Linked DNA regions of Oryctolagus cuniculus. The protein of the gene in region 2 purifies or fractionates together with the protein of the main gene of each other region. This does not show direct contact. Links are inferred from orthologs where the notes say so. Each region holds a gene or a part of one and is shown on either strand. Other genes may lie near its edges.

What was found.
Region 1: the proteins of STIP1 (region 2) and BAG2 purify together in Homo sapiens (affinity purification with mass spectrometry; 3 studies listed by BioGRID and IntAct, with this or other methods). This does not show direct contact. The link is inferred for Oryctolagus cuniculus from reciprocal best matches to the Homo sapiens genes STIP1 and BAG2.

What each region holds. Positions count from the first base shown.
Region 1 is NC_091436.1:112,390,958-112,400,518, reverse strand, and holds the end of BAG2 (BAG family molecular chaperone regulator 2), read left to right. Parts: exon of another isoform or gene 1-381; coding exon of another isoform or gene 382-569; intron 570-2,959; coding exon 2,960-3,069; intron 3,070-4,165; coding exon 4,166-4,578; 3' UTR 4,579-5,653; downstream 5,654-9,561. Other genes in the region: RAB23 (ras-related protein Rab-23), read right to left, coding at 382-569. UniProt on the Homo sapiens protein: Co-chaperone for HSP70 and HSC70 chaperone proteins. Acts as a nucleotide-exchange factor (NEF) promoting the release of ADP from the HSP70 and HSC70 proteins thereby triggering client/substrate protein release.
Region 2 is NC_091432.1:7,107,711-7,118,140, forward strand, and holds the start of STIP1 (stress-induced-phosphoprotein 1), read right to left. Parts: upstream 6,429-10,430; 5' UTR 6,227-6,428; coding exon 6,218-6,226; intron 2,368-6,217; coding exon 2,158-2,367; intron 1,902-2,157; coding exon 1,760-1,901; intron 1,662-1,759; coding exon 1,520-1,661; intron 1-1,519. UniProt on the Homo sapiens protein: Acts as a co-chaperone for HSP90AA1. Mediates the association of the molecular chaperones HSPA8/HSC70 and HSP90.

The DNA.
Region 1 (9,561 bases), on a different chromosome or scaffold from region 2:
CAAGACTAAAGAAGAAAATAAGAATATGATTATAAAGGAGGACATAAAAATTATTTTTGGCGGATAATGTGATCATCAACTTAGAAGAACCATTAAAAACAAGAGACTGGCCATTAAAATTAATGTGTAAATTGAGGTTGCCAGTTTTAAAAGGAACTTAGAAATACAGCATTTATTAAATCAGCAATAATTGAGTAGAAAATGCAATTATTTATAATAGTAATAATATTCAAAAAGTACCTAAGAATCTAGAACACTTTAGAGCCCACAAGACAGGGCCAGTGCTGTGGCGTAGCGGGCAAAGCTGCTGTCTGTAGTGCTGGCATCCCACATGGGCGCCAGTTTGAGTCCTGGCTGTTCCACTTCTGATCCAGCTTGCTGCTAATGCACCTGGGAAAGCAGTGGGAGATGGCCCAAGTACTGCCTAGGCCCCTGTACCCACATGGGAGACCCGGAGGAAGCTTCTGGCTCTGGCTTCAGCCTGGCCCAGCCCCATCCATTGTAGCCATTTGGGGAGTGAACCAGCAGACGGAAGATATCTCTCTCTCCCCTTCTTTCTCTATCTCTGCCTAAAAAAAAGAAAAAAAGCAAAAAGGAGTACGCAAGGCTAGAATGAAAAATACTTCAAAACTCTAATAAAGAATATAGAAGATCTGAGTAAGTGATGAGATGCGTCATGTCCCTGAATGTAGTGAAAATACTATAAAGAGGTCTGATTTCCCTCAACTCTTTGAGAAACCCAAAAACTTATGCTAGAGTTTATATGGAGGAATAATGGGCCATAAATCACTTCTTCTAAAGAAGATTGGGGCTTGGGGAACTGCTCTGCCAAATATTAAAGTGTATGTGGGTTAAGAACAGTCAAATATGCTAATGTATGCAGTAAAGATTATACAGATCAGCAGGGAAAAGAAAAATAAAAAAAAAACCTTAGCTAATCACATAAGGATGGATTCCAAATGAATTGAAGATACAAATACAAGAAAGGTTAAAACTGTATAGTTAGTACAGGAAAATATCACATGGTCAGAGGTGAAGAAGGCCTTTAAACAAAACTTCAGAACCATTAACCAAAAGGCTAAACAAATGATGAATTTGATTTCATCAAGATAAGGATTTCTGCTTAGTGAAGGAGATCCTGACAAAGTTCATCTATGACAGCAGTGTCTGTAATCAATAAGAAATTAATATCTCCAGTATGGAAATCAACAAAAAGACAGGAACTCCTGTTTAAAAAAGAAAAAAACACAAAGGAGCCGGATTTATGGTGCAGCAGGTTAAGCTGCTGCCTGGGAGGCTGGCATCTCATGTCAGCACTGGGTCAGGTCCTAGCTGCTCCACTTTCAGTGCAGCTCCCTGCTGATGCATCTGGGAAAGCAGTGGATGATCGCTGACAACCTGGGCCCCTGTGAGCCGTGTGGGAAACCCAGATGGAGTTCCAGGCTCCAGATTTTGACCTGGCTCAGCCCTGGCTATCGCAGCCATTTTGGGAGTGAACCAACAGATGAAAGATCTCTTTCTCCCTTTGTCTCTCCCTTTCTCTCTGTCCTTCTGCCTTTCAAATAAATTAAAAATGAACCTTAAAAAAAGGGCAAAGTATGTCAGCAGGTTGTTGTGGATATCGAAGAGCTATCAAACATTATTAATAAGGAAAGAAATGCACTTACATACTGAGATATCACTGCGCCCTCATTAGACTGGCAACACATAGAAGCTTGGAATGCTCCGTGCCCACGGAGGTGGGGACAAGGGACTCCATGCTTCACCGTTGGGAGGGATGGTACAGCTACTCTGGAGAAGAGTTGTAGCTCCCTGCCACATTTAGAGTACACATACACTGCAGCTGTGGCCTGGACGTAGCCTAAGGAAATTCTCACTTGGGGGTGGTAGGGGGGTGGCATGCATTCATTGAAGCACTATATGCAGTAATCAGCAGTTGGTGGACACCCTAGGCATCCATTCTGGGAGAGTGGGGAGGTAAAATCAGGTGTGTATACACATGGAATATTGTATCATTAGAAGCTGCTGATTTTTTAAAAATTGTGTTTAAAAATTTTTCAACTTATTTATATGAAAGTCAGAGAGAGCGAGCGAGCTCCTGTCTATTCATTCAGTCCCCAAATGCCTTCAACTACCCATGCTGGGCCAGGCCAGCTGGGAACCAGGAACTCAATAGAGTGGAGGGCAGGGACCCAACTACTAGAGTCATCCCCTGCTGACTCCCAGCTGCCAGCTACAACTGGGAACAGTCAGGACTTGAACCCAAGTATTCCAGTATGGCATGTGGGCATCTCAAGCAGTCTGAATTACTATACCAAGTGCTTTCCCCTAGAAGCTATCAATTAGATGCACTGTACACACAGAAACCTCGTTGGTTCATAGTAATATAGTGCTGAATGAAAAAAAAAACCAGAATGAGATATAAATTAAAAGTACACAGTAGGGGCTGACATTGCAGTGTGGTGATAAGGCCATGGCCTGCAACGCCAGCACCCCATGTCAGCACCTGTTTGTGTCCCAGTTGCTGGGTGTCCTATCCAGCTCTCTGCTGCTGGCTGGGAAGAGCAGAAGATGGCCTAAGTGTTTGGGCCTGGCCCAGCCCTGGTCATTGCAGCCATCTGCAGAGTAAACCAGCAGATGGATGACCTCTCTCTCACTATCTCTCTTTTTCTCTAATACTGACTTTCAAATAAATCTTTTTTTTAAAAGTACACAATTTAACAAACAATAGAGTTTGTGGGAACAAATAAAATGGAACAGTTGCCCTGTAAGCAAGGAGGAAAATGGAAGGGAGGCAAGTGGATAAAAACAAAATAGAAAATGGAAGAATTAGAAGCGGAACAAGGAACTTTTGAAGTGTTCCTAATGGTCTGTAAACCTGAGTTGGATTGAATGAGAGATGAAGATCAATACGAAGAACATCCTCCGTAATAACTGCTTTGTTTTCCAATTTACATAGGGTTGAAGCTTTGAGAGAAGCTGCCAGTGCTGTTGAGCAAGAGAAAGAAATCCTTCTGGAAATGATCCACAGTATCCAAAATAGCCAGGACATGAGGCAGATCAGTGACGGTGAGCGCCATTTCCACTGAAGGGGGCTTGTCTTCAAGGGGTGTGTGTGAAGTGTGGGCAGCTTGTACTTGACTTCTGGCGTGTGTACTCTAGGCTTCAGCATTTATTGCATGCTGCAGAGAGCAGCTGTAGCTGTCAGTTTGTAGAAATGCCACTTCCCCAGAGATCACTCCCAGCATGCTCGCTGTGCCGCAGCATGGAGCGAACGGCAAAGCCCTACCAGCTGCAGGACTGGCCCCAAGCTTGAAGCCACCTGTTCACCACAGTTCCACATTCTAACTTTGGTGCTTGTAAGTTACTGGACCGCAGGAAAGGTGAGAGCAGAAGCAAAAGGTGAGGAGTGGAAGCAGGGAAGTAAAGAAGCAGAGATGAACTGAGGTGTGACTTAAAGAGAGGAAATGCAAACAAAATGCAGAGAAAAGGTTACATTATGGGGCTGAAAAAGCCCACTTATGTCTCAGAATGTGCGATCATTTTCGTATGAAGAGCATGAGTATGGAGGAATGGGTCACTTGGGATTTTTTTCATTGGCACTGGACTCCCTACTTGGCGCTCCACAGGATAAATTGTGGGCCAGGTAGCTGGTGAGAATGTGAACAGTCTAAGTCCAGCCACAGCTGTTCCACAGCTACTGGGGCTCACGGTCTGGTCTGCCCTTCAGCTTCCTGAGCAAAGTCAATGAAGGACAACCAGGTGGCTTTTACCCAAGATTAACAACAGAGCTCTTTTGACCATCATTGATTGCCTCCTTGTGCTAGCCAAGACTGAGATCAAGGGCCTGCTTATCTCTGCCTGCAGGGGATGGAGCCACGGCCCCAGCCATGGCCCACTTCTGAGGCCAGCTTATCCTCCACTCCCATTATTACTTTTTTTCAGGCAAAATTTGGGGCAAAATATTCTGATTAGCATGCACATTTATTCTAGAATCTCAGACAATTCATCAGTCTTATATGTGTTATAGTTTCAGCTTTTAACTCTAAAACATTTCATAGCAGAAGTGCTTATAGAAAATAAATTTAGCCACACGTGCCTCAGTGTTCTTCACGGTTAAGTCTGTCTCTCATATTGATGACATTTCAAAACTGTTTCTGTCTAGGAGAAAGAGAAGAATTAAATCTGACTGCAAACCGCTTGATGGGACGAACCCTCACTGTTGAAGTTTCAGTAGAAACAATTCGAAACCCACAGCAGCAAGAATCCCTAAAACATGCCACAAGGATTATTGATGATGTGGTCAATAAGTTTCTGGATGATTTGGGAAATGCTAAGAATCATTTAATGTCACTCTACAGTGCCTGCTCGTCTGAGGTGCCACCAGGGCCAGTTGATCAGAAATTTCAGTCCATAGTAATCGGCTGTGCTCTTGAAGATCAGAAGAAAATTAAGAGAAGATTAGAGACTCTGCTTAGAAACATTGAAAACTCTGACAAGGCCATCAAGCTGTTAGAGCATTCTAAAGGAGCTGGTTCCAAAACTCTGCAACAAAATGCCGAAAGCAGATTTAATTAGTCCTTAAACCTAAGAGCATTTACAAATAACGATGTAGGAATGGTAAAGTACTATTTTAAGTGAAAACTAGTTCTTTATGTTAGACATAACCACTTATTTGATACGGATAGTTGTTTCGGATGAGGAAAGTATTTCCAGTGCCATCAGTTTTGTGAATACCAATTAAAACTAGAACTATTTTAATTATCTAGAAGTTTTTATATAGAATTCTTGTACTAGGATCTAGCACATTACTTCTGTGTTTTTCCTGTTCTGTGTATGAATACAAAGTATGGCGTGGGGGACAGTAAGTACTGAGCTGGGGGCAAAGCCACCGCTGCTCTTTCCCAGGCTTTCCCTGTCAAGGAACTACTTTCCCTGTCAAGGACCTGGGGCATCTGCCTCGGCGTGCTTTCCCTTGGGCAGCACACAGCGTACTGCTTCCCTAGTGTTAGCTCAGCCCTGCTTAGCGGGACGAAAGGAATCACACAACAAGAGGCTTTCCCTACATTTTCCCATTCAGTTGTTTTTTAAGGCATCTGTAACCAAATTATTCTGAACTTTTGTGCACCTCATAATATGTGGATAATATGTGGTTTGTGAACATGACAAAGTATGAGAGCGTCACCTGTAATTTTACCACTGTGATCAATACTATATCCATTCATCTTCTCTCAGATGCATAACTTCTCTAAAATTACAGTGTTGTAACTTGGTTGTCCTTAAGTTAAATGCTGCTAGTAGGTCTGCCTACTTGTCACTTGAAAAGCTCTGTTTTGTGCAGTTGTACAACAGTTCACTTACCTGCTTCCCTCTTATTGAACATTTAGGTTGTTTCCGCTTTGTTGCCATTACTGCAGCAGATTATGTACATAAAGCTTTATCATTCTTTCTTTTTTTTACTTTCTTGGTATAAATCCCAGCAGTGGATTTATTGGGTCAAAGGGTATACACATTTTCATGGCCTGACACACATTTCCAAATGTTTTGTATCAGTTCTATCAATTTATACTATCTTTAGTAATTAAAATGTAGCCATTTCACCGAAATTGGTCCAACATTGAGCATTAAACTTTTTCTAACGTTAGATATAAAACACCTTGATGTAGTTTGCTTTTTATTTACTAACAAGGTCAACCATTGTACTGATTATCTGTGGAATGAATCGAAACTATAGAACACATGTGTTCAAAGTAGTTAATGCTATCGATATACAAAAACCTCAACAACTACCCTCAAAACAACTTTGAAATGAATACACTGAACGGCTTTCATTAGGATGTAGGTATTCCTCACACTAAAAAACACAACTCACAATACACTTGATTAGATGCAAGCAGTGCTGGGCTTCTCTGCACAGAGATGCCAAGTTAGTCCCTCTTTATATAAAGCAATTACAATCTGAGAGTATTCATGGTTGCTTTCTGTGCTGTCCCTAACTATGCCTCATTTAAATCTTTTCATTCCATGGAAACACTGGTTCTATCTACGGCTTGCCAGCAGGCTATTTGCTATCATTAGGCTCACTGTCAGATGAAGATTTTGTGTGCCATCTTTTTCTTTCCCAGCTTTTTGAGATTTAAGAAATGGACAGCTAAGTTTTTCTCTGGGTTCTCAAGTGTCGCAGCATCTGTATTAGCCTCGGTTCTGGGAAGTACATCCCTCCCCATCGCCCACTCACCAGGCCTGGACTTTTCCTGCCACAAAATAGTCTCTGGCTCGTGATCCCTGTATCCTGTGCATGGTTCCTTTCTCATTTTCTCTGCTGTGGCATTTTATGGGAAGCTATTCTTTTCTTACCATAGAAGAGAGCTGCATTCCACCATTCCCAAGCTGCCTGGGGTTCACGCCCTGTCTCCAGCCTCCAGAGTGAGCACAGCTAGGAGTCAAGGACCTTTATGTGTTTTAATTATCTTTTTTTAAAAATGTATTTTATTTAAAAGGCAGGGCTACAGAGAGGGAAAGACAGAAATCAACCTTCCATCCACTGGTTCACTCTCCAGATAGCAGCAACTGCCAGGGCTGGGCCAGGCTAAAGCCATGAGTTTTTTCCAGGTCTCCTGCGTGGGTGGCAGGTGCCCAAGCACTTGGGCCACCCTCTGCTGCTTTTCCCAGGCAGTTAGCAAGAAGCTGGATTGGAAGTGGAGCAGCCGGGACTCAAACTGGTGCCCATATTAGATGCCAGCATCACAGGCAGTGGCTTTACTTGCTACGCCACAATGCCAGCCCCACAGGCAGTAGCTTAATCCACTTCACTGCAGTGCTGATCCCCATTTTCTTTTAATTAAAAAATTATTTTATTCTTCAGAGAGACCTCCAGTCTGCTGGTTCACTCCACAAATGCCTGGGAGTGAGGAAGTCAAACCAGGTTTCCTGCGTGGGTGACAGAGAGCCAGTTCCTTGATGTGCATCAGCAGGGATCTGGAATCGGCAGAGCTGAGGTTTAAATCCAGGCACTCTAGAGACATGCAGCCTTCCCCAGCAGCATCTTAACTGCTGTGCCAGACGTCCTGTCTGGATTCTTAACAGATTTTTCTTTATAAAATTAGAAATACAATTTATTTTTAAATAATGAAACTCCCCAAGAATGACAGTTTGGCCCTCATTTAAACGATCATATTTTCTATAGATTATAGTTAGGTCATAAGGGCATTTAGAGTATGTGTCTTCCCTACTCAAACTCTACTGTTCCTAGCATGTAATGTACAGTTTGCGGCTAGCCTGCTTCCCGGCACTGTTCCCATCCCTTCGCTGCCTCTTCTGAGGCCTGGTCTGCCTTCACGCTGAAGGACAGGCTCCCTGACGTGTGAAGGCCCGCAGGACGTGCAGAGGAACTGACAGCACTGAGTTCACCAGTGGAGAACAGAGTGAAAATCCAGCCCAGTGAAAAGTACAGAATTGACCTTCATGATTTTTTTTTTTTTTTTTTGACAGGCAGAATTAGACAGTGAGAGAGACAGAAACAGAAAGGTCTTCCTTTTTCCATTGGTTCACCCCCAAAGTGGCCGCTACGGCTGGCGCTTTGTGGCCAGTGCGCTGCGCTGATCCGATGGCAGGAGCCAGGAGCCAGGTGCTTCTCCTGGTCTCCCATGGGGTGCAGGGCCCAAGCACCTGGGCCATCCTCCACTGCACTCCCGGGCCACAGCAGAGAGCTGGCCTGGAAGAGGGGCAACCGGGACAGAATCCCACACCCCGACTGGGACTAGAACCCGGTTGTGCCAGTGCTGCAGGTGGAGGATTAGCCTAGTGAGCCGTGGCGCTGGCCTGTGATGTTTTAACTTAGGGTCCCTGACATTAAAAAAAAATAATAATAAAGCTTACAGGAGTGGGCAGGACCCACAGTAGTGAATGAACTACTGACTTCCAGTGTTGTAAACTCCACAGTGGACACCATCCTCAGTGTATCCTATGTGAGCAGCCTAAGACATTAGCCAAGTGAGATGCTTTTGTTTTTAAGAATTTATTCAAAAGGCAGAGTTAGACGGAGAGGCAGAGAGAGATCTTTCATTGGCTGGTTTCACTCCCTTTGCAAATGGCTGCAAGAGCCAGGGCTGGGCCAGGACAAAGCTGAGTCAGCAGCTTCATTCAGGTCTCCCACATGAGTTGCAGGGGCCCAAGCACTTGGGCCGTCTTCCATTGCCTTCCCAGGCACACTGGCAGGGAGTTGGATCAGAAATGGGGCAGCCAGGACTTGAACAAGCACCCGTATAGGATACAGTGGCTCAACCTGCTGCAATACAGTGCTGGTCCCAAAATGAGGTATGATGCATACCTCCTAACAGTATGCTATGGGGGCTGGTGCTGTGGCACAGCGGGTTAATGCCCTGCCCTGAAGCGCTGACATCCTATATGGGTGCCAGTTCAAGACCTGGCTGCTCCACTTCCTATCCAGCTCTCTGTTATGGCCTGGGAAAGCAGTGGAAAATGGCCCAAGTCCTTGGGCCCCTACACCCGCGTGGGAAACCCAAAAGAAGCTCCTGGTTCCTGGCTTCGGATTGGCTCAGCTCTGGCCATTGCAGTCAATTGGAGAATGAACCATCGGATGGAAGACCTCTCTCTCTATTGCCTCTCCTCTCTCTGTGTAATTTTTTCAAATAAATAAATAAATCTAAAAAAACCAGTAGGCTATGGACAGTATATTAAAGACATAACAGTGAGTAGAGGCTTGGTTCTTGTTCCATCTAGCATCTGGTTGCACTAAAGAGGTTATCATCTAATGGAAAATTCTGCCTCAACATTTTAAAATTGGAAAGCATGAAAGAACTCGACACAGAAGCAGCAGAATAATGATTTGGTAAACTAAAAAAGGCCCAATGATTTAAACTAGGAAACATCTGTTTATTCATCCCTTTCAAATTATCAGCTGTCAGAAATGCTAACATAACTGATGTGATGCTATTTTTGAAGGTTGGTTTTTACAGTTACTCAGAAACATTAAAAGAACTGAGATTCTTGGCTAAGACAGGAACATGAGTGAGCCTGGGCTTAACCTCTGTGTGGGGGTGTTAGTGTGTGCCTGTGCGTCTGTGCATACAGAGCAAGCAAAGTGAAAATGGACAAAACCCAAAGCACAGGACAACACTGCAGGCACGAGCTGCCATCCTTGCCTCTTACCAGCAGAGGGCCTCATGTCACACAATGTGCCCCTTAAGCCCTGGCCTCCCCAACAGTAAAATAGAAGGAAAAATGCTCCTACAAATACCATATGGTCTCTGATCTGTGGTAACTAAAATACTTAAAATGTAATCTATAGGAGCGAAACTGACACCTTGAGATGTGATGATTTTGAACAGCCCTGTCAGGTGAATAATGTTTCTTTTTGGTTTTGTTTTTTTCTTTTTTCATCATACTATTTGGTGAACTTAGTGTAGGGTTAATCTTATGAGTATAAAATTAACTGAAAATTGATCTCGGTAAAAAATAAGAATGGAAAAGGAAGGAGGAATAGGAAGAAAGGTGGGAGTACTGGTGGGAGGGAGGTAGGGCAGGGAAGAATCACCATGT
Region 2 (10,430 bases):
GCCCGCGCCCTGCTGACCCGTCTGGCAAAGAGGCAGACGGGTGCTTGAGCCTCTGCCACCAAACGAGACCCAGATGGGGTTCCTGCTCTCGCCCAGCCCGCCCGGCTGTCTCTGACCATTTGGTGACTGAACCAGTGGATGGGTAAGCACCTCTACAGCTCCACCTTTCAAATACTCAATCCTGGGGGTGGGGAGTGGATAGAGGGCTGCCAACGGTGTAAAAGTCAACCCTTTAAACCCCTGACTAGAATGGAGTCACCAGGGTCAGTTCAGTCACCTTCAGGTCTGGAGGCCAGCAGGTACGAGAAAAATGAGTTCCTATCGGCTGACCTCACTGACCTCGGGAGCCAGGGCTCAGACGGCAACAGGCCCCATGCAAGATACATACAGATCCGGGCCGGGCACCGTGGGGAAGCGCATTACGCTGCCGCCTGGGGCACCCCACCCAGTATTGGAGTCTGGTGCGCGTCCTGGCTGCCTGCTACCAACCCCGCTTCCTGCTAACGTGCTGGGAGAGGCAGCCGGCAGCTCAGCTCAGCTCATGCTGGTGGCCCTGTCCCAGCTGTTGTGTGCACCAGGGAGGTAACAAGCAGATGGAAGATCTCTTTCTCTCTCCCTATTTGCCTTAATCTTAATCTTTCAAAAATTTACTTGAAAGGTACAGTTACAGAGAGGAAAGACAGCCTTTTCCCTTGCATCCACTTCCATCACTCCCCCGAGGGCCGAAGCCAGGAGCTTCACGTGGTCCTCCCACGTGGGGGCAGGGTCCCAGGCACTGTGCCCAACTGCTGCTGCTCTCCCAGGCCATTAGCAGGCAGGGGGACTGGAAGTGGACCCCAGGACTTAATCCGGTGCCACAAGGTGCCCGCACTACAGCACAACGCCCACCCCTCAAATCACCCCAGCAGTGTGACTGTTCCTGTTGCAAAAATCCCAACAGGGAGCAGCAGGGCTCGTGTCCCTGCAACCATGGAGCTGGTCCCGCCCAGAACTGCGAGCAGGGGGAGGAGCCACACGCAGAGTGCAGAGACTCTGCTCACTGTAACACACGCTTCCACCGCCCCTCCCTTTTTTCAAAGACTTATTTATCTCAAAGTTATCTGAGTTACAAAGGAAGAGACAGAGGTCTTCCATCCACCGGTTCACTCCCCAGGTGGCTGCAACGGCCAGGGCTGGGCCAGGCTGAAGCCAGGAGCAGCAGACACGGTCGGCACCCACGTGAGACGCTGGCGTCACGGGAGCCAGCTTTACCTGCTGCACACAACGCCAGTCTCTCCCCGACCCTTGCTATAAACAAACCTTCACTGCTCTAACAGAAATCAACGGTGGAGGCTGGGAGGGAATGAGAGGTTTTGGATGCATAAGAAACAGGAGAGTGGGAATAGTTAATCAGTTGTGACAGGGACTCCAATCGAGATGTTAATGGGGAAACGGGGTGAGGGGCGCAGGGGGACTGTACCACGCCTCCCACTTTAAGACAGAAACCGCGGCCTGGCCCGCCCGCCCCGCCCCTACTCACGTGCCGAGGTCCGACGGCTTGTGCCGCAGCTGCTCTATGAGCTCGCGGTAGGTGGGGTCGCTGAGCAGCGCCCGGGTCCTGGGGTCGCTCTCCAGCTTCTGGTACAGATGGGGCATGTTGAAGGGGTTCATGACCTTCCTCTCTGTGGGGACACAGCGAAGCCACCTGTGAAACCCGTCCCTGCAGGCTACCTTCTAACTCGAGGACACGGCCAGGCGAGGAGCCGCGCCCGGCGCCCACCTGCCAGGCGGGCCTCCATGTTCTGCAGGCCCTCTTTGAGCTGGGGGTTGCTGGCTTCATGTTTCAAGCCCTCCTCGTAGGTTCGTTTGGCTTCTTCAAATCGGTTCAAGAACTCAAGAGCGGCTGCTTTTCTCGAATAGCCCTGGAGCCAGCAAAGACAAACACAAAATAAAATAAAGCAGCCTGGAGGTGAACTCCCAGAGACGACTCAAGACCCATCTACAAGTTAAGCAGCAAACTGACACTTCCACCTAGGCCACGAACAGGACAGGATGCCCCGGCTGAGGATCGAGACTGCCCCCCCCCCCGCCCCCGGCCGGCAGCGGCTCCCTTCTCCCAGGACAGAGGACGGAGCCCAGGCCTCGCTGCGGACGAGCTGGAGCGCCGCCCCGGCGTACCTTGCCCCAGTCGGGCTTCAGCTCCACGGTCCTGCAGCCGTCCTCGTAGGCCTTCTGGTAGTCCCCTTTCTTGGCGTAGGCCGCGGAGCGGTTGCTGTAGAGCACATGGTTCCGGGGGTCTAACCGGATGGCCTCCGAGTAGCACCGCACGGCGTCGTCGATGTTGCCGGCACTCAGGGCCTGGTTGCCCTTCTCCTTCAGCTCGCTCACCTGTGGGCACAGCGCGCTCAGCGCCCCCAGGCCTTCCCGAGCCCCCCAGGTCTTCCCGAGCCTCATCACATCAGAACGGGAAGCAGCTTCATCCACCCCTCCGGCAGCCGGCAGGGCCGAGCGGGCCCCGCTCTAACCCGTCTCCCGGAGACGAGGGAGCCGCTCCCGGAGGGGCCCTTCCACGGACAAGCGAACCACGCGGCAGATTCCCAGTCCACATGACACGCCGGGCACAGGCCCCGCCCCTCGCGGGAAGCCAGCACCTGGATCAGCACTCGCGGCGCAGGGCCTGCAGGCTGTGGCGAGCTCCCCGGAGCTCAGGACGCCAGTCAGGGCTCCTCTGCCAGCCCCTCCTGTTCAGCCAGGGCGACGTGGCCACGCGCAGTACCGCCGTCCTGCACGGGGAAAGCTGACCCCTAGCTTCTTCCCCGGGGCCACACAGGGGACGGAGAACGCAGACCAAGGCCCTGCTTTGGTCTCCCGTCCCTGCCAATACTTAGAAGCAAAGGGTCGAAGAAAGCCAGGTTAGAAGGGTCCTAACCAAGGGGCTTCTTGCTGGAACCGCCCGGGGAAGGCCACCCGCCCCGGGCAGCCCACACCCTGAGCTCCCTCTGAAATGCATGGCATGCCAGAGCGCAGCCTGGAGTCCTGGTCTAGCTCTCCACTGACGCGCCGGGAAAGCAGCAGCAGGTGGTCCAGGTACATGGACCCCGGCACCCGCGTGGGAGACCCAGATGAAGCTCCTGGCCTTGGCATGGCCTAGCCCGGCCACTGGGAGCGAGCCAACAGATGGAAGACCCCTCTCTAACTCTACCTTTCAAAGGTAAAAAAATAAAAAAATAAAATACCAACACATTCCCTGGTATCAGGCCACGTCACAAAGTTACTGTACCACTCTGCCATTCGATGCCACCCCCAACCCCCACAGGGTATCCACGACAGAAACACACCAGGGGCCAGCGCTGGGGCGCGGTAGGCTAAGCTTCCACCACAGCGCCGGCATCCCACATGGGTGCCGGTTTGTGTCCCGGCACAGCAGAAGATGGCCCAAGTCCTCGGGCCCCTGCACCCGCGTGGGAGACCCAGAGTGGCTCCTGGCTTCAGTTCCGCCCAGCTCCGGCCATTGTGGTCGTTTGGGGAGTGAACCAGCAGATGCAAGACCTCTCTCTGTGTCTCTAACTCTACCTCTCAAATAAATGAATAAAATCTTAGAAAAAAAGAAAAAAACTGCATTAACACAAAGGACTCTGGGCCCTCCGGGCACAGCACCCAGGAACCCTCCAAGAGGAAGGAGTGCAAGAGCCAGGGAAGAAGACAGGAAAAGGCCTAACAGTGCAGCAAGGGAGGGGAAACGCCAAGTCACAGAACTCTATGGTGAGGCAGCACCGCGATGCGGCGGGCTAAGGCCTGCCCGCAGCTCTGGCATCCCAGATGGGCGCCGGTTCGAGCCCCAGCTGCTCCACTCTGATGCTCTGTGCGGTGGCCTGGGAGAGCAGTGGAGGATGGGCCAAGTCCTCGGGCCCCTGCACCACGTGGGAAGAAGCTCCCAGCTCCTGGCTTCAGCTGGGCTCAGCTCTGGCCGCTGTGGCCATCTGGGGAGTGAACCAGCGGATGGAAGACCGCTAACTCTGCTTCTACTTCTCTCTTTAACTCTTATCAAATAAATTTAAATAAATCTTAAAAAAAAAAAAAAAAAACTGGTGCCCAGGGGCAGCTGAGGAAGCCTGGTGAGGTCCTGACCACGCGAGGAAAAGCAGTTTCCATGCAAGGACTGAGCTGCGGCACAATCCTCTAGGTCAGGACCAGCGTTCCAGCACATCCCGCGGAAGGGGTGCCAGCACACAGGACCGCAAACACCGCTTCACGCGTGTCACACAGGGGCTGGTGCTGTGGCGTAGCGGGTAAAGCCGCTGCCTGCAGTGCAGCAGCCCACAGGGCACCAGTTCTAGTCCCGGCTGCTCCTCTTCAGATCCAGCTCCCTGCTGTGGCCTAGGAAAGCAGTGGAAGATGGCCCCAGTGCTGGGGCCCTGCATCCGTGTGGGAGACCCGGAGGGGGATCCTGGCTTCAGATCGGTGCAGCTCCGACCGCTGTGGCCATCTGGGGAGTGAACCAGCGGATGAAGACCTCTCTCTGCCTCTCTGACTTCCCACAGCGGGATGCGCGCCCTGGTCGGATGTGCAAGCCTGCGGCCAGGGGCGGTGCAGCAGGCTAAGCCGCTGTGTGCAACACCAGCTTCTCCTGGGCTCTGGTTCCAGCCCCGGCCGCTCCACTCCCAGGCCAGCGCCCTGCGAATGCACCTGGAAAAGCAGAGATGGGCCCGCCAGCAGTGTGGGAGCCCCGGGCAGGGTTTCCAGCTTCTGGCCTTGGCCTGGCCCAGTCCCCGCCACTGTGGCTACTGGAGGAGTGGGACAGTGGATGGAAGATATTTCTGTGTCTCCCAGTGCATACAACTCTGCCTTTCGAACAAGCAAATAAACCTCTTTTCTTTCTAAAAGTACAGTGTACCCTGAGACGAGAAAGGTCCTTGTTTTAGACACCCACGGGGCAGGGCTGTGGGGTGGAGGGTTAAGCTGCCTGCAACACGGCAGCCCTGCTGGTTCGTGCTTGGGCTCTGCCCCCGCGTGGGAGCCCTGGCCTTAGGGCCACGCGGGGGTGAGCCGGCGGGTGGGCGCTCCCTCCCGCCGCCCCTGACTCTAACTTGTCCGCTCTGAGGTCTAACTGCAGGACGGACTTCACAGCCGAAATCCAAAACCGAGGGCCGAGCAGTCCCCCGGCGCTCTCGGGGCCTGGACTCGGAGGGGCGGGTGCTAGCGCACCTGGGCGCGAGCGCGGGCGGCAGGACCCCCGGCTTAGGCTGCAGTCCGCCCGTAATGGGCCCGCAGTGGGCGGCCCAGGAGAACCGCCCACAGCACCGACGGCCGCTTCTACACCAACAGACCAAGGGCTTCCAGTCCCCGCGCTGGCCCACGCCGGCCTGCCTCGCCCCGGACACAACACTACGGAGGCCCGAGACGGGCACCACCCTCTCCCCGTCCCGCTCCAGGTCAGCACGGGGCACCTCGGTCCCGGCCGCGCACGGGCCGCTCCAGCCCTGCCCACCGCGCCAGAACAAAGGCCCCCGCTGCAGGGGCCCTCCCCAGGCCACGGCGCCCGGCTCCCCGCTTTTTCCACCGTCAGTGGCCGCGGCCCCACGGCAGCCGCCTCGCGAGGTCTCGCGCGCACCTGCAGGCCCCCGTGGGCATCGCTTCCAACGCCGCAGGTCCACGGCTGGGGACGCCTCCCCGCGCGGTCAGACCCCGACTTCTCGGGCTGCGGCCGCACGTCGCACACGGACCCGCGAGACGCCGGCCGGAGGGCACTCGTCCCCGCCGCCGGCCGCCCGGACCCCGACCTCGACGCAGCCAGGGAGGCCTCTCCTGCCCCCGGGGACCCCAGGCTGCAAAGTCCCTCGGCACTCCCAGCGCTCCCGTCCCCGCTCCCGGCTTTCCCCGAGGTCACCGTCCGGGGCGGCTTCCCCGTCCCCAGTCGCTGCCCGCCCAGGCCGCGACCTCCCCCGGCCGCGGCTCCTGCCCCTCGCCCACCCGCGGCTCGGCCTGCAGCCACCTCTCGGGAGGCCTCACGCCCAACTCAGGCCTCCCCCGGCGGCCCGCGCTCCCCGCGGCCCGGCCCCGCCACGGGCGGCCGCCGGCCTGCCCTCAGGCCGCGGCCCTCACGCCCTCGCCTCCCGCCGCCGACAGCCCGGCCCCGGCCCCGGCCGCCCCGAGCCGGTGCCCGCCCCGCCACTCCGCCGGGCCCAGCCTCGGCCGGTGCCCGAGCCGTCTCGGGCACAGCCCGCCCCTCCCCCTTCACCTGCTCCATAGTCCGGCCCGGAACCCCGTTGAATCGAACCCGTCCGCTCCGCGTTCCCAGCCGCACGCGCCGCCTTCTGGAACCTACTAGAAGATGCCAGGACCCCGGCTCCCGCCTCTTCCTCGCCTGCTCACTGGCCGAGCGCCTCTAGGGGGCTCCCTCTGCTCCTCTGCAATTGGCTTGAAGTCCAGCCTATCATTTTCGCTTTTCTTTCATTGGTCGGAGACCAGTAATCCCGTCAACCCGGCCTTCCCCGCACCTCCTGATTGGCTCTCTCGGGCAATCCCCGCCCATCTCAGGCCCTGTGGATGGAGGGAGGGGCGTACGTCTGCGACTAGGATTGGCTGGTTGGTTTGTCAATCGCGGTCGAGCTGGCAGCGCCCATTGGTTCTGTTCTTTCTGGAAATTTCCACCTTTCCCATTGGGCTGCCAGACTCCATGAAGGAACCGCCTTCACAAGAAAAAAAATTTCAATTGGGCGGAGACTTGCCAACACTTTGCGTTGATAGGTTTAAACGGCTGCCCGTCAAAGAGCGGGTGCCGGGTGTCGCCCCGCCGGTGGTTTGTGGGAGTTCGGGGCTGCCCTGAACGCCCAGTTGCCGGGGCTCTGGGGACTGCGGCTGCCTCCGGCCGAGACGACCCTGTCCTCGCGTGGGCCTGGGGCGCGACTGTCTGCGCCGGCGCCGGGAGAGCGGCTCGGCCCGTGAGCGCCAGTGCCCGCGTTTGCGCCTCCGGCTTCGGCCCACCTGTTAGACCCTGGGTCTCCCCGAATTGCGCCGTGGCCGAGAAGGCGCCGTGGCTTGGGCCGGACGCGGGCATTGGAGGCCGCGGCCGGGGGTCCAGCCCCAGGGGGTGGGGTGGGGAAGGCGGGAGAGAGATGAGTCTGGGTTCGGTGGGTGCTTCTGCGTGCAGGCCCCGTGTGTGGTTCGGGGAACTGGATGGGTTCGCGCGAGGACCGCCCGGGGCCCCGCCACATCCCAGCTAGTTGCAGGTTCGAGGCCCAGCGCCGCACCCACGCCCCGCGAACGCGCGCCCTGGGGTAGCAGGCGCCCGCGCGTGGGACCAGGTGGACTCCCCTCTCAGCTTGGGCCTGGCTCAGTCCCAGCTGCAGGGGCTCTGGGGGAGGGAACCAGCTCGGGGTGGCGTGGGCGCTGTCTCTTGCTCTTTGCCGCTGAACGCGGGTCCGTGTCCCGCCTGTGCCGGTGGCCTCTCGGCAGACCCCTCCCTGTGCAGGCTTTGGGGTGCGGCTCGCTCAGTGTCGGGCCAGCCTGCCTCCCTCCGCCGGTCCCCTCGTGGTTCCCGCTTCCCGCGGCCCTGCCATCTCCAGGCTGCGGTGCCGCCCCCGGCAGGCACCCGGTACATGGCTCTGCCGGCGCTGGGCTGGGCGTGAGCCCCACCAGAGGGGCGACGTGGGCGTGGGTGCCGCGGTCCGGGAGGCCCCGGACGGCCTGGAGCCTCTTTCCCAGAGTCCAGCCCGCAGTAGGCACTTGTCAGTTCACGGAATGTGCCTGGACATGCTGTCCCCTGTCAGGGGTCACGGTGGGCTCAGAACTCCCTTGGTGGGGGCCGGGCTGTGGTGGAGCAGGCTAAGCCTCTGCGTGAGGCGCCGGCATCCCGTGAGGATGCCAGTTCAAGTCCCAGCTGCTCCTCTTCCAGCCCAAAGCAGTGGAGGATGGCCCAAGTGCTTGGGCCCCTGCAGCCGCGTGGGAGACCGGAAGAAGCTCCTGGCTCCTGCCCTTGTGGCCATTTGGGGAGGGAGCCAGTGGATGGAAGTCCTTTCTATGTCTCTGTGACTGCCTCCCGAAGAAATAAGTAAAAATCTTAAAAAAAAAAAAAAAAGCCCAGTGTGTGTGCTGGAGCAGGGGTGGTGATACATTTTCAAGAGGGAGGTGGGAGACCGGGCGTCAGCGCGGGGCGGTGGGGGCCTGGGGAAGGTGGTGAAGTGGGGAGTTGGGGCGATGGGTTGAGTTCCTGAGCTGGAGGCCCACCTGCTGGTCATCCTATCCCTAATCAGATGACCCATCCCTTCCCCTTACCCGGGGTGTGGAGTTCCCCTTCCAGATAACGGGTAAAGCCGCCGCCTGCAGTGTCGGCATCCCACGTGGACGCCAGTTCTAGTCCCGGCTGCTCCACTTCCAGTCCAGCTCTCTGCTGTGGCCTGGGAGAGCAGTGGAGGATGGCCCAAGTCCTTGGGCACCCACGTGCAAGACCCGGAAGAAGCTCCAGGCTCCTGGTTCAGATCGGGCCAGCTCCCGCCATTCGGGGAATGAACCAGTGGATGGAGGATTTTTCTCTCTCTGCCTCCCTGTAAGTCTGCCTTTCAAATAAATAAATAAAAACTCTAAAAAACAATTAAAAACATCCCCCTTCTTACCTTTCCCTGTCCACTCCCTACATGAAGCCCACGTGTACCTGTGTGTAACCACGATGCAGGCCGTGGTTGAGCCTGTGCCTAGAATTCTCTAAAAAGCAGTTTGGAATTCTGGGAGGGCTTCAGTTTGGAGCGGGAGGTAAACACCCCCCCCCCCCCAGCCACCCACCCCCAGTCTCCTCCTCCCAGTAAGAAAAAACCCTGGGCCTTGAGAAACTCCTAAAGGTGCCTCCTGCAAGACTGAAAGACAATGATGGGGGCGGGGGGATAGAGAGCCTGCATCTGCGGGGTCACTCCCCTGAGGGCTGCAGTGCCAAGGCTGGGCCAGGCCAAAGCCAGGAAGCAGGAATTCCGTCTGGGTCTCCCACGTGGATGCAGGGACCCGAGCACCCGGGCCATCTCCCGCTGGTTCCCTGGGCACGGGAGCCAGCACTGTGGTCACCCCAGCACGGTACCACCCGCCCCCAGGAATACTTCAATGTCCTGTTTAACGGTGCTCCCCGTGCGGGGACGTGACGGCGGAGAGCGTACTGCTGCCGCGGTTCTTGGTCTCAAGTGGAAGAGCCCCCAGGCGTCTGGATTTAAAAGCGAGGTTGATCAGAAAGAGGCCTCCAGCCAGGGTGGCACAGAGGGGGCTGTCAGAGGCCCCCGCGGCACTTGGGGTTTTTAAGCTTAATTTTGGAAAACAAAAGAACTTGACAATCATCTTGGCGTTCAGTTACAGGGCGGGGACAAAGGTCCTGATTGGAAACCTAGCTGTGGGCTGGCTCGCTCAGGGTGGGGTGGGCCACATGTTTTCACCATCAACCGTGCCACCACTCCCTCCCTATTCTCATGGTAAATTTGGAGATTCCTCGGTAGGAGGGCGGGCTTTTGGTTCTTGCCTTGGGGGGGGTGCATGCACTCCACCACCCTAACTTCCTCTGGGACCGCCCTGACCGCCTGTTAACCCGTCGGGGTCCTCACAACCCCAGCTTCTGCCGAGCTGGCTGGCCAATCCTGCTCACTGGGGAACGCGGGGCGCGGCTGTTGGGGTGGTGACCTCGCGGGCAGGCGGGCCGCTGGCTGCTGCTGGAGCCCCCTGAGGTGGTACTGAAGTAGGCAGGCCTACAGGTTAAAATCGATTAGGTCTGTGAGCTGGAAGACCACGCCTTCGCCACGCCCCTGTGTGACCTCATCCCCCCACCTGGCCACACCTGGGCGCCCACCAGCCAATCAGGGTAATTAACCACTCCCCTTTGGAAGTGGGTTAAAGCCTGGGACACGGTGTGTCCGGCCCTCTTCTCTTCTGCCCTGGCCTCTCGCCAGGAGGGGCTCGCTGTAGCCCTGCGCCTCCAGGGCGCGTGGCCTTCGGGCCACCCCTCAGGCTTCCTGGCCCAGGTGCTCCTCCTCGTGGCTGGTTCCTGGTGCTCGTGTGAACCCAGATTTACCCCTCTCCCTTAATAAAGCTCCCACTCTCCTACGCATCTTTCACACTAAATAAAGGCCTAAAATGTGCCGTGCTGCCTCGTTTATCTGTGCCGGTATTTAGAATTCTTCTCTAAATATTGGGCAAGAGCCCTCTCGGGCTTATAAATGTTGGGGATTTAGTAAAAAGCGTATGGTGAAATCGTACGGCACCCCAAATTCCGGTAGCATACGTGGCACCCCAGATAGCGCTTCTGGGGGACTTTACGGGGCCATATTTTTGTGTGAATTTTAGGGGTCATTCCTGATTTCAGTGCCTGGGTCTGGTGCCTGGCTCCGGACCCCTGGCGTCTGCCAATGCCCACCCTGAGAGGCCACACTGATGGCTTAAGTAGTTGGTGTCCGGCTGCCTGAATCGGAGACCTGGGTTGACCT